Cricetulus griseus: one gene and its partner. The protein of the gene in region 2 interacts with the protein of the main gene of each other region in a biochemical or structural test. Links are inferred from orthologs where the notes say so. Each region holds a gene or a part of one and is shown on either strand. Other genes may lie near its edges. The genes, in order: Ang and Rnh1.

What was found.
Region 1: the proteins of Rnh1 (region 2) and Ang are reported together in a solved structure, tested with the Homo sapiens proteins (3 studies listed by BioGRID and IntAct, with this or other methods). The link is inferred for Cricetulus griseus from reciprocal best matches to the Homo sapiens genes RNH1 and ANG.

Annotation. Positions count from the first base shown.
Region 1 is NW_023276807.1:206,774,281-206,778,580, reverse strand, and holds the start of Ang (angiogenin), read right to left. Parts: upstream 2,824-4,300; 5' UTR 2,685-2,823; intron 1-2,684. UniProt on the Homo sapiens protein: Secreted ribonuclease that can either promote or restrict cell proliferation of target cells, depending on the context. Endocytosed in target cells via its receptor PLXNB2 and translocates to the cytoplasm or nucleus.
Region 2 is NC_048596.1:60,018,772-60,021,748, reverse strand, and holds part of Rnh1 (ribonuclease inhibitor), read right to left. Parts: intron 2,244-2,977; coding exon 2,073-2,243; intron 1,709-2,072; coding exon 1,538-1,708; intron 1,038-1,537; coding exon 867-1,037; intron 792-866; coding exon 621-791; intron 544-620; coding exon 373-543; intron 146-372; coding exon 1-145. UniProt on the Homo sapiens protein: Ribonuclease inhibitor which inhibits RNASE1, RNASE2 and angiogenin (ANG). May play a role in redox homeostasis. Required to inhibit the cytotoxic tRNA ribonuclease activity of ANG in the cytoplasm in absence of stress.

The DNA of each region.
Region 1 (4,300 bases), on a different chromosome or scaffold from region 2:
CTTCAAGGTGAGACCTCTACTGATATCCAGCTAAGCACCGGAATGTTCAGTGTGCAAACATACCTATTTGATGTATGATCACACATCACTTTTTAAGCAGATGTGGAAGAACTGAGCTCTAGAATCATCAACCACTCATCTGTTAGAGGAGAACAGCCAAGTGTATTGCAACACCAGGATGGCCTCATCAGCCCCCAGGGGACATACCAGCCAACTCCCTTAGCCAGAGTTGACCTATCAGTGAGGCCCTTTCTGGTAAACAGCTGCAAAGCAGACACTTCACCCTAACCCACAGCACACACACCACCTTGTCCAAACAGAGCCGCCTCTTTTCTTCAGAACTGTGTAAGAATGCCACAGAGTAACCAAAGGGACATCACAGCAGTCAAGGCCCTTCTCTGAAGTGGCCGGCCCCTCACCTGCCAGCTCGGAGGATTTAGAACTTGCTCATTTCCTTGACAAAAGGCCAGGAATTTTTTTTTTTTTTCAAGTTGGCACATATTGAAACAGAAATGGGTATTTTTAAATTTTGTATTTTATTAAGGCTCAAAGAATTATAGTCTATGAACGAGGAACGTGTGTGTGTGTGTGTGTGTGTGTGTGTGTGTGTGTGTGTGTGTGTGTGTGTTGCTAAGGTTCAGACCCAGTACCTCAGACACGCTGCTTAGACTACAACTGAGCCACACCCCTGGGCCTGAATATTATATCTTTGTCAGTAATTTTAACTCATATAAAACAACTGCCAATTTTAAAAAATATTCACTTAAAAAGTTTTAACCACCTGGGCAGTGGTGGTGCATGCCTTTAATCCCAGCATTCAGGAGGCAGAGGCAGATGGAACTCAGAGAGCTGAGTTCGAGGCCAAGCTTTTCTATAGAGTTAGTTCCAGGACAGGATATAAAGTTTTTGAATTTTGAATGAGTCATGCCATTCTCCTTCCAAGAATTGTAGTGTTTGGACATTTCCCCCCTTTATATGGAGTATGTACATTTGACTCTGTCCTTAGGACTCATTGAAGAATCAAGTGTGGAAGGTATGAGTGAACTGTGTAAATTCCTTTACAATGCTAACTTAACACTTAATCAGTGACAGAAGCAACAACTAAAAGAGAAAAGCTCACTGGACTAGGGCTTGAGAAAGTGGGTTCACCCATGGTTGAGGGAGGGAGATTGGGAACAAATTCCTGATGACTTCCCTGAATCTCCAAACAAGATACAAATTAAACATTCACTTTCCAGCACACGGGGCTTTGGCCTATTCCTGGCTTCCAATTATTCTCAGAATAACTGTTTACAGAGATTGCTCTCTGCTCAAATACAGATACAATGGAAAATCTCAAGAGCTGTTTCACCAGCCTGCATCAGGACTCTTTCTGATCCATGATTGGAGTCATACTAATAATGCCTCAGACAAACAGTCCATGGGATTCAGAGAGAATAAGGATGAGACAGAAGCTCATGGGAGCTCTGCACCCCACAAAGCTGAGACACTGATGAACTAACTCATGATGCTTTCAGGCCTATCTCTGACCCTGGCCATAGCTAGCCTGCTTTTTCTAAACAACCCCTGTTAAACTACAGCTCAACTCCACATTATCCAAAATCGTGTTAAAGATGACAACAGGCGGTTGCTTATGACAATCTCTCTGACCTTCACTTTACAGATGAGGAAGGAAATTGAGAAACAAAGAAACGGACATTAATTGACCAAGGAACATTTGGCATTCCTGTGATTAGACACTTTCTAATGTACAATATGACTTTTACATCCCATTGCAATGATTTCTAGAAACATCATTGATTTTTAAAGCAACACTAAAAAATCATTTAAAGAAAACCAACACTGATTATTTCCACAAATCTCCCAAATATTTGACTTCCCCTTTTATCAGCGAAGAGTTTCTTGAATTAAAGCCGGTGTGACTAGCAAGCTGGCCCAGCGCTGAGTGGTGCGCTGCTCTTTGAATAGCTCTTTCAAGAGTTGCCGGGCTTTCGGGAGTTGGCCAGGAGCTGTTCAGATAGATAAGGCTACTGAGGTTTCTAGCGATTGCATGTATGAACTAACTGTAAAAATTACTGCCGTCACAGAGGGAAGATCCTGCTGGACCACTGGAGATGTCCCAGTGTAAGGACGTAGCTCCTATTTGCACTGGCACTTCAGAGCAAGAGAATCCCAACCGCCCACTGACAAGGCATGGAGGAGGCTACTGACGCTTGTCTCCAAAAGTTACACAACCCACTTAAGGGTGAGCTAAGGGCTCGCGGGGGTCAGGAAATAGAAAAAGAAAAACACTAGCCCTCAAATGTTAAGTCATGCCTGCACAACCTTGACAGGCCTTTTCCACAAATCTGATGCCAACCCAGGAACCCTCAGATCTTCCTTATCTGAGCAAACGCGGGCGGGGTTCCTGGAACTCCTCCCTTGGCAGATTCTGTGGTCCCCTCTGAGTCTGGGTTCTAGACAAAGGCATCCACGCCGGACTCTGCCAAGCTGAGGAGAGGGAACTGTGGAAAGAGTATTGCCAACTCTGGCAAGAGTTGATACCTGCCACACCTCAGCTCCGAAATCAATCAGACCCGAAAAGTGGTCTCCCAGGACCCCCACAACTGCCCTTGCTTGGAAAGGAGTTCCACAGACAAAACCGCTCCTGGCCAAACTATGGAGGAGCAGGAGTAGAAACCCACCTGGCGCGGAACTGGAGGCGGCGACTTTATTTCTCACCCTTTTTTCCTAGTGGGATTCCGAATAGTAGAAATGCAATTTCCTTCGGAATCTCGTCGCGGATATGGGTGAGGTCGGCGTTGCCTGGCCACGCAAACAGACTGGGGCCGGGTGCAGAGGAGCGGAGGGTGGGCGTTCCAGCCTCGGTGGCTGGGACCGCACCCCATTTCTCCAAGGATGCCCCTCCCCGCTGGGCCTGCTTGCAGAACTCAAAGAAGTAACCCCAGACTCCTTCCTAGCAGGGAACCAGTGTGAGTTCTACACAGGAACCAAACTGGCAGATGTCCGGAGGACCTCTACGAGGAACACAAGCCGCAGACGCTCCATGACACAGGGGGACCCTGTGAGGTTGCCCGGGGAAAGCTCCAGGAACCCCCAAATTTAGTATTTGCATAGTCCTGTGATACCATCTCTTTCTGTAGGATAGTTGTAACTGGAGAAAGTTTGTAGAGAAGTGAACCATATCCAATTACTAAAGAATGTAAAATTGCAGGGCTCGTCCGGGATTTGAACCCGGGACCTCTCGCACCCAAAGCGAGAATCATACCCCTAGACCAACGAGCCGTGATGCAGTCCTGCTATTTGCAGTCTATCTGTCTATCCTAAACATTTTGGCGTTCCGATGGCTGTCAGGATGCATTGATAACCGTCTCTTTCTTTCTTTCTTTCTTTCTTTCTTTCTTTCTTTCTTTCTTTCTCTCTACAGGTTTTGTTCTGCAAATCAGAGTCCTGCGGGCCAATAGAACACTGAAAACATGCACACAAGCGTGTCCACGAGGGTCTGTACCTTGTAGTCTTTGGTGTCTGGACTTAGGACATAGGACAGCAAAGCAGGCTCAGTTAGAAACTAAAAGTAAACAATGAAAACGGCCAGGAACCAAATTCCAAGTTGTGCGCTTTTTCCTTGTTGTAACGGTGTGATTAGCACTACATAATCAGAGACCGAGCAAGACCTATTGTATCCTTTCTCAGGAGCGGGGTTGCTAGTAAGGACGGTCTCTATTCGGATTTTGAACAAAGGACTAGAGATTAACTTCGAGGGTTGAAAGCCCAAAACGTAGGCTACTCCTTCGAGCCGGAATCGAACCAGCGACCTAAGGATGGCTGTCATATACTCTACAGTCCTCCGCTCTACCAGCTGAGCTATCGAAGGGAAGCACAACGCTCTATTCTCTGAGGGCGGTGTTCAGTCGGTAGGCAACCACCTAGCGGTGAGGACAGAGCCTTGCAACAGCGCTCGGTGTGCGGCGGGCGGCCAGTGCGGGAAGCTGCATTCACCCTGCCAGATCCGCCGACCTGTTTCACCCTGGCTTTGCAGACGCAGCCACAGCTCTGCGGGTGTCCGCCTGGGAGGAGGGTGGGGGGTGCACGCATGCATGCGGTGACGCGGACTCCAGAGATCCGAGAACGTGCGCCCCGCACCCGGACCGCGCGGCATTGCGCTCCCGCTCTGCGGGCGGGACGGCATCGGGTGCCACCGCAGCTAGGAAACCCAGGGGCTGGAGGCGCGGCTTGGTGGTGGCGCCGTTGCCCGGCGTGAGATTCTCCAAGTTCAACTTAAGCTCCTAAAAGCAAAAAA
Region 2 (2,977 bases):
CTGGCCCAGGGCCTTGCAAAGCTCCAGGACTCCCAAGTCCCCCAGTGGGTTGCTGCTCATTTGCAGCTCCAGCAGAGAACGGTTCTTGGTCAACACCGAGCATATGTGGGAACAACAGGCAGCTGTGAGGCTACAGGTCTTTATCCTGTGGGAACAGAAAGGCTGGAGCCAATAGCTCCAACTAGCCCTTTCCTTGGAGGTTCATAAGGAACCCAGATGGCTCACCAACCCCTTCCCAATCTCTCATCCTCTGTGTACCTACACCTCAGCCCAGCGCTGTCCTCAGCTGCTCCCAAACCTCACTCCACCCTAGCCTTTCTGCATTTCTGCCCATTCCCCATTCTGTCATAGAAGAACCTCAGGCCCGCTCACCACAGTGACTCCAGCTGACAGCCAGGCTCCAGCAGACTTTCACACAGCAGCTGGGCACCTTCATCTCTCAGCTCATTTCCAGCCAGGCTGAGTTCCTTCAGGCTCTGCTTGGTCCTGAGGACACGGCACAGGTCCTTGCAGCCCTCTGCAGTGATATCACACTCCCACAACCTGTGGGACATCAACATTCTTGAAGGATGTCTCTCACCATGTACCCATCTCCATGGAAAGTCTAGCAGCTGACTCACCACAGAGTTCTGATCCTACAGCTGGGGAGCAGCAGTCCTGAGCACAGTGCGGCAATGCCTGCATTACCCAACTTGTTGCTGCCCAGGTCCAGTTGCTGTAGTGAGGCTTTGGAGGCCACGACATCGCACAGATCCTTGCAGTTGGCTGATGTGATACCACAGTTCTCCAGCCTGGAGACATAGGACATAATGAGAGAAGCACTGGTGCCTGCCCCTACCCCTTAGCCTCTGTGGCTTAGTACATACTTGAGTGACTCCAGTTGACAGGCAGAGTCCTTCAAGCCCTGGCACAGCATCTGGACACCAGCCTCATGGAGGTCGTTGTTGCTCAACACTATCTCCTTGAAGTTGGGTTTCACCCTAAATACTGAAGCCAGAGGCTCGCAACTGGTAGCTGTGAGGTTACAGTATTCCAACCTGGGGGCAGGCAGAGGTCTCAGGCACATCAAAAGGATTAAGGATGGGCCTAGAAACTTGGTATCAGGGAAACAAGAGATTGCTGGCATCTCATTTCACATTGCTTCTTCAGGCCTCATCTGGTCAGACACAATGATACCTACAGCCTTCAGGCTCATGTGGACACCAACATGGCTCAGGAAACTTTTACTGAAAAGTGCCCCACCTCAAAATCTGAGGCTCTCCCAGAACCAGCAGAAAGATACAAGTTCCTCTGGAGAGTATCTTCAGGCCATCTGGGGTCACACTACAGAATCAAGCCAGACTCCACCAGTATCAGTTCCTACTCTCAGAGGCTAGGTCATCTGCCAGCCCCTAGCAAAGGAGAGCCCCTCAAATCCTAGGAGTCCCGTCTAAGGTTCTTATCCACAGTACTGGTGTGAGGCTTACTGAGGATGGCTGGCTGGGCTCTGGGTAAGAGGCAGCAAAGAGCACAGGGATCCTGGCAAGGTAACACTCACTGAAGCTTCTCAAGGCGGCATTGGGGGTCCAGAAGTCCTTCACAGAGCAGCTTCAGACCTGCATCTCCCAGAGGATTATCACTGAGATGTAGCTCCCGCAGGGTAGGTAAAGAACGTAGCACATCAGGCAGGACCCTACAGCCAGCCTCGGTCAAGCTGCAATTCTGCAGGCTGAAGCACATGCCATCAGTAGCAGCCATGAACAGACTCAGCCCATACCTGCCAGAGCTCCCACCACACCTTACAGGGGTTGGGGCACTACTTTTCCTTTAGATGGGGTCCCAGGCCAAAGGAGGATACCAGTGTGGCTCAGCCAGATTCTCTCTTGGGGCTAGGGCCTAGAAGATAGCCATAATGTGGCCTGTCCCTGCACTTCATACTTACCTGTGTTGTTCTGGATGGAGCTGGGAGTGCCTATTACCACAGCCTATCCCTTCCTACCTCACACACCTCTCAGTGGCTTTCTACATCACAGCTGCCTACTTTGCCACTTCAGGTTCTGCCCTGAATAGACTGAGCTGAGCCCCTGGCTTACCTTAGCTTCTGGATCTTACAGGTGGGATTCTGCAGGCCCTGGAGTACCAGGCACACGCCAGGGTCCCCCAGCTCATTGGTGCATAGGCTGAGCTCTGTTAGGGTGGGGTTGGACTGAATGGCTGAGCTGATGTCTTTGCACCGCACCTCAGTGAGACCACAGTCATCCAACCTGCAGACAGAACCCCTGGATCAGCATGGTGCTGGCCTCAGACCCAACCACCACACCATCTCACATGATAGGTGATAGGACCCATCAGGAGCCAAGAGATCAAATGTGGATTATAACTACAATGTTTAAACTTGAAACAGGCATTTGTGGTGGCAGGTGGATCACCAAGCTCTAACTCAGTCTGGGCTATACAGTGGGAGAAAGCTTTCTCAAACAAAAAAGCCTAGCTTGCACAAAGATCCAACACTGAGAGTAGGGGTGGGGAAGGTAGCAACGGATGTTGATAGCTGGCAGAGGAACTCAGACCTGATCAGAGCTGCAGCAGCTTGAGTCTATGATGAACCACAGCAAGTTATGACTCATTTATGTCCACATGGGGACACTGTATACCCAGGACAGTGTAACAGGCCACACCCATAGTGTCTCCACACTCTCCAAAAGCACATGACCACTGCAAAGAGCCCTCAGATTACCCAAGGGAACATATGCAAGGTATCCAGACTCAAACTCAAAGTTAACTAGGACAAGAGGAAGAGGAACCCTACAGAAGGGGCTAATGAGATAATCAGTAAAAGTCATGTGGGTTCCTAAGCCACTAAGAATGGGGCAAGTCACAGGACAAAGCTGGGAACCCGTATCTGACTAGCAGTGCTAGGCAGCATGAGAGTCTTGGGACATGGTCATGGGAGGCTGATGGAGGGCTGGGGATGCCTAATTGCCTGACTGACTCTGTG